Linked DNA regions of Rattus norvegicus. The protein of the gene in region 2 interacts with the protein of the main gene of each other region in a biochemical or structural test. Links are inferred from orthologs where the notes say so. Each region holds a gene or a part of one and is shown on either strand. Other genes may lie near its edges.

Region 1 (3,654 bases), on a different chromosome or scaffold from region 2:
GCCACTACTGTAAGTGGGACTGTGAAGGATCAAAAACAAGAGCAGAGTAAACCTGCCGGCTCGTTAACTGGGCTAGAAACTCTGCAGGATGTTCCACTACACAACCCAGCAAATAGGACTGCTGATAGTGACTTGCCGGGACCCCGGACGACTGGCGCAGGAGCAGGAGAAAAGCATAAAGAAGAGCCTACTGACAGTATGAAGGCCCCTGCTAGTAGACGCTGTGGTGAGGAAGGCAGCGTGCCCAGAGCAATGATCCCAGCTGTCACTGCTGACTTGCCTGCCTGCAGCCCAGCCAGTGAAACGGGCAGCGAAAACAGCGTGAGCATGGCTGCCCACACGCTCATGATTCTCTCTAGAGCAGCAATTGCTAGGACTACAGCAACTCCTCTAAAAGATAACACGCAGCAATTTAGAACATCTTCAAGGAGCACTACGAAGAAACGAAAAATTGAGGAATTAGATGAGTGTGAGAGGAACTCCCGCACTTCTAGTAAAAATCTTGCAAATTCATCAGTACCAATGAAAAAGAAGAAAATCAAGGCAAGTTTGAAAGTTTTCATTTCAGTTCCACTCCTGTCCCTTCCTTCAGAGTTTAGAGAGGTCAGAAGTCCTTGCTGCAGCTATATGACTAAATGTATCCTCAGAACCATGCACTTAGTATTGTTTCCTGGTCCCAACAATACAAGTTGTCTCTAAGGACATCCTGAGGACAAGTGAATGTTTCTGTCATGGTATCACCCAGGATTTTTCATGCAGATACAGAAGTGTGGGAAACTACCATTACGTGAATTACCATGGGGAGCACCACGCGTTCTCCATCTCTTCCACAGTCTGTAATGAGTCTGGCAGAGTAGCAGAAAAACTCATGTCCTTGTGTTTTAACCAGGATTGTCTGTAGTAAGGCAGTACAAGGATTGATAAATAAAATGCATTTACTTAAAATTACCGAAAAAATTAAATGGAAAGTATGTGAATGCCGTAGGGGAGAAAGTAAAAGTTAGAGAAGTGGCTTTTAGATTTGGTGTCCTGCAAGCCTGAGTTTGAATGCTGTATGGAGTGTGTGTCATTGCTGTGCCTGCCTATTCATGGCTAATCTGGCCTGTTCTGCCTCATCATTTAACCTAAAATCATAAGTCTCGCCCCGTGGTGTGGTAGTGTGTTATAGACTAATACTTTAAAAGCACCTCCTCTGTGTTAGCATTTGGAGCTCGGTGAGTGAGTGATAATGTGCGTTAGCAGCAGGGTCAGCTGGCAAAGGTGTGTGTCTTCAAGGCTGACCCACTATAGAATTCAATCCTTGAGAGCCAGGTAAAAGCAAAACCACTTCCAGAAACAGTCCTTTGACTTACATACACACATGTGCACGTGCAGAGAGTAAATCAGTGTAGTAAAACAGTATCTGTTGGTAATGCTTTGTAAAATTTACAATTTGACAAAAATGACCACCTTAAAGGAAGCATGTCTCTCTCGTCTCAGCATTCACATGTATATACTCTGGATTTCATTTGTGCCTTTTGCCCTAAACTAACATTGAATTAGGTTAGTAAAACCTCTCTGTCTTTCCCTATAGAAATAGATTGTAGCAAACTCAAAAATGATGCAATTTCATTATAATAAAGAATCTAATGTTTTAGGTGATTTGCTAAGAAAATTATCTGGCCTAGAGTTTATTGTTTTTCCTTCTTTTTTGTTTTTATTTTGACAGAAAAAGAAGCTACCTAGTTCATTTCCAGCAGGAATGGATGTGGACAAGTTCTTGCTATCACTGCATTATGATGAGTGAAGGACACCCTGACATAGAGACCAGTAGCTATTTAAAACTAGTGTCCTTCAGACTGCGCGTAGGAAATGGGATAGAGACAGACTGCAAACATGACCTGCACTTTGACTGTACTGAGGTTTCACTTTATATCTAAGTCATGCTGTTTCTGAAGCAGCTTCCTAGTTTGTAAATAGACTTTCATGGAATATTTGTATTTTAGACAAAAAGAACATACGCAGAAATGTAAGTAAACCCTGTCTGCAAAACTGTATAGCTGTGACACTGTATATTGTACATGTGTACATTGTGTAAAATAGAGCTTAAATCAACCTAACGTTCCCACACTGTCTTGATTGACTTCCTGTGATGCCCGAGGCTTATTCTTCTGGAGTAGTTTCTCATCTCCTTTGGAGGAAGATGATGATTATTCTTATAAATTACCTTCAGCCAATACTAGATAAGCCACTAAGTAAAAAATAATAATGATGACCACCTCAACTGGTTAGTAAAATATCTAATCAGAAAACAACAGTTTGATGATTTCCCCCTAGAGTCAATATTTTATCACCCTAAATAAATTTCAGTAAAATCTATATTTCTGAAGTTTTATACTTTATTCTGATCATCTATCCTCTTTGTTTTAAAGAGATTTTTATAAACCATTTATTAAGTGTTCTGATATTTCACTTACAACTTTTTGAAATTTTTTACAGAACATTAAGTGGTTAGACTATTGAGCCATAAAAATTTGAGTTGTGTAGTAGTCGAGATTTCTTGATTATATGTAAACTTTCCCTAAGCACTGGGAATACAAAGAATTGCACTAATTCATAGACTTTTCATATACTAGTGACCAATGCACATTAATTTAAATCTTGTATGTAAAAGCTTATATGGAGGATTGTCTTCTGGTGTCTTCGAAAGTCATGTCCATCTTAAGATGTAAAAATGAAAATCATAGTTATATTGTAATTTAGTTTACCCTCAAATGGGATATGTAAATAACTGTGTTTATACATAACCTATAGAACCTCGCGTTCTTTAAAGTGTTATAAATAATTACTCTCAAAAGGTCCTTAGGGGAGTGAGAGGTGCCTTCTCTGTTAGACTGACTCATAAACAACAGTCAAGTTGAAAAGCTGGCTTAAACTTTAAAGGAATGACAGAAATTATCATTAATACTTGACCGATTGTGCCTAGATATTGAAGTGTTTTCTTAAGTTCTTACTGCTTAAATATCAGTATATTAAGGTTTTTTTCTACGGGTGTATATTTTATTAAAAAGTCACTTTCTTCAACCATTTTTTGTACTGGGCCTTTAAGAAATAAATCCATCCAACTGTAACAACAAAAAACGTCTTCAATATATAAATTATGTCTTTTTACTTGCTAGATTTTACTGTACAGATTTATATTTTGAGAAATTTTATATGACTATGATATATACCTAAGGGACTAAGCATACAGCTAATGTTTATATAACTCAGCTTGGGTCTATCCTACGGTTAGGTTTGAATAAATATATTTTCATTAACTTTACCAGTTTGGATTTATATTGACAGTCCTATTTAGAAACTTTTGATTAAATTTATTTGTAGCTTAGTTAATTCTCTGTGTTTTTCAGGAATTCATGAACTCCCATCTGTGTGATGCATAATGAGAATCATATATAAATTAACTCATGCTATTTTTAGTCAGTGTCTTTTCTGTAGGTCAGGCTAGCTTTGAATTCATTACATAGTCCAGTGACTTTGAATTCCTAGTCCTCTTCATCTGCCTCCTCTTAAGTGCCAATATTGCAGGCATGCGCCATACACAGAGCTGCTTCAGGGTTCTTGTCAGGTTGCTTTTGTCTTTTTTAATATATGTACGCTGTGGCTGTCTTCAGA
Region 2 (2,648 bases):
CGTGAGTGGCTTGGGATCCCTTTGCTACGTGTCAGTGGCACCCCAGACATTCACCCCCTCCCAGCCCCACCCAGCCTTGGGGATCTATGATGCCACGGTTGGGGGAAGGAAGGAGGGGCGAAGAGACAGATAAGGGACTTCATTGTCTCAAGCTCTGTATGACCGACCCCATGATGAGCCCCGGGGAGGGGAGTCATGGGCCCTGCTGACCTTTCACTGACTGTGGGAGCCTCCTTTGTACCGGGGCAATGCGGACTGACATCAGTGTGGCCTTTGCTTCCCTCTCCCTGTGTTCAGGTGACCCGCAGGGCCCTATTCCCTGGAGACTCTGAGATTGACCAACTCTTCCGGATCTTTCGGACTCTGGGGACCCCAGATGAGGTGGTTTGGCCAGGAGTTACTTCTATGCCTGATTATAAGCCAAGTTTCCCCAAGTGGGCTCGGCAGGATTTTAGCAAGGTTGTGCCTCCCCTGGATGAAGACGGACGGAGCTTGTTATCTGTAAGTGTCCGGCCACAATAGCTGCCCTCCCACTCTACAGAGAAGAGCTTTTCCTGGATGAAGAGAGCCCAAATCTGTTAGAAGTAGTACTGGGTAGCCCTCGCTTCCTCTCTTCATCAGTAGGCTGGTTCAGATGCAGGGGGAGGGAAACAAGAACTGGGTGAGAATACTGGTTCCCAAGTTTCTCAGTGCACCTGCTGTCCCTTTGGCCCACTGCCCCATCACTGAATTCAGACTGTATTTCTCTCTCCAGCAAATGCTGCACTATGACCCCAACAAGCGGATTTCAGCCAAAGCAGCCCTGGCTCACCCTTTCTTCCAGGATGTGACTAAACCAGTGCCCCACCTTCGACTCTGATGTCCTTCCCAAAGCCCTCTTCACCTGTGGTCTGACCTGATCCTGGGCCTTTTGGACACAGGTCAGCCTTCTGCTGTTTTCTGGCTGTCTTAGCCTTTTCTCTGGGCCAGCCGGTTCTGGGGATTCAGAGGTGCAGAGAAGGATTAGGTGAAAAGGGAGAAAGTTTTGGCATTAGATGCACTTAACCCGACTTCCAGCTTCTCTCCCTCTTCCCAGTCATCACTGAGAAGGATTAGTATTGAAGCAAAACTGACAGTTCTCCCCAGTGTCAGATTTTGCCATCCCAACCTTAAGACTGTCTCATAGTTACCGTGTTGAGGGAAATGCCCCCAGACTCCTGCTGACAATGTTTTCTAAACTAATGAGCAGAAGCCTAAGTTGGGACAGTTCAGAACCAAGCAAGAGGGGTCCATTTTAATGAATTAGAGTAAAAAAATAGACCTAAGCCATTTGTACCTTAGTCTTAGTGTTTGGCCTCATCTAGCAACCAAGGAAGCCTGGTTGGAGAAACAGAAGAAATGATTCCCTCCAGAGCCCTGTCTCCCTTCCCCAGGCAAGAAGAGCCAGGAGGGCACAGGCTTACGCTTCACTCTGATCTGTGTGCTTCACAGGGCAAGGTGAAAGACACTTGAATTTCCCTTTTTAGCAATCTTACTGTTTTCTGGTGCTGCCGGCTGAACCCAGGACCTTGCCCTCACTAAGCAAATGTACCTACCACCAGTGAGCCAGATTTCGTTCGAGCCCTCCTTTGGGAAGTTCAGTTCTTCAGTTGTCAGAGAGCCTTATTACCATCTTCCTCTGAGAGCCACCCTCACTCCTAGTAGTGGAAGCGAGCTAGGAGACATTTCGAGAATGCTGATACTTTTTAAAGGCTGGGTTAGGTCATTGGGGGAAATTTTCTATAAAAGAGTGAACAATTATATTTATATTTTCAAGTTAGAATAGTTTGGATATTTCAATGGTTTTTTGTTTGTTGTTTCTTTTTTTCTTTTTTGTCAGTGTGGATGGATTTGTTACCATGTGCACTTTGGGATTTTTTTTTTAATTGTTTAAAGAAAATATTTCTTTTATGATTTCCTTCTCCCACCCCGTGTTGTTAATATTATTTGTAATTTAGTTTGTAATTCATTAAAAGAAAATATTCTCAGGTGTGTCCTCCAGTGTTGTTAATATTATTTGTAATTTAGTTTGTAATTCATTAAAAGAAAATATTCTCAGGTGTATAGTGAATCTCTTTCATATTTATCATTTATTCATTTACTTGAAAGAATGGTGTGGGTGAAATTCTGAATGAGAATAGTCAGTATATAGTTCATATCCTTCCACCTAATCTCTGTGTATGCAGGGCATCTGCCATGCGCTGTGGTGGGGTGTTTCTAAGGGTGGGGAAACTTCCTTCCTACTTTCCCCTATGCACACAGGCACACCAATACAGAACACCGTTTCAGTTTTTCTCTTAGCAGCAACTTGACTTGAGTGGGCTTCAGGGACATCCATCTCAACACCATTTCCCAGGAAGCTTTTACCATTTTGTGTAGGGTTTTGTTTGACTGTGAAATTGTGTGTACATGTGAGTCTCTAGTGTCCGCAGAGGCCAGGAGAGGACGCTGCATCTCTTCCAGAGGTACAGTCAGCTGCGAGCTGTGGGCAACGAGCAGCCAGCACGCTGTGGTACTGGGAACAAGCCTTGGGTCTTCTGGGTTCAACCCTCAGTACCGGAAAAAATCCTCAGCAAAGCTGTCCAAATATTTTTTCAAATTTACAAACAATTGAGAAAATATCAACAATG

Evidence for each region.
Region 1: of the proteins of Cdk2 (region 2) and Npat, one has a biochemical effect on the other in vitro, tested with the Homo sapiens proteins (2 studies listed by BioGRID, with this or other methods). The link is inferred for Rattus norvegicus from reciprocal best matches to the Homo sapiens genes CDK2 and NPAT.

What each region holds. Positions count from the first base shown.
Region 1 is NC_086026.1:62,863,610-62,867,263, forward strand, and holds the end of Npat (protein NPAT), read left to right. Parts: coding exon 1-543; intron 544-1,708; coding exon 1,709-1,786; 3' UTR 1,787-3,456; downstream 3,457-3,654. UniProt on the Homo sapiens protein: Required for progression through the G1 and S phases of the cell cycle and for S phase entry. Activates transcription of the histone H2A, histone H2B, histone H3 and histone H4 genes in conjunction with MIZF.
Region 2 is NC_086025.1:1,713,750-1,716,397, reverse strand, and holds the end of Cdk2 (cyclin-dependent kinase 2), read left to right. Parts: coding exon of another isoform or gene 1-1; intron 2-297; coding exon 298-501; intron 502-754; coding exon 755-859; 3' UTR 860-2,006; downstream 2,007-2,648. UniProt on the Homo sapiens protein: Serine/threonine-protein kinase involved in the control of the cell cycle; essential for meiosis, but dispensable for mitosis. Phosphorylates CABLES1, CTNNB1, CDK2AP2, ERCC6, NBN, USP37, p53/TP53, NPM1, CDK7, RB1, BRCA2, MYC, NPAT, EZH2.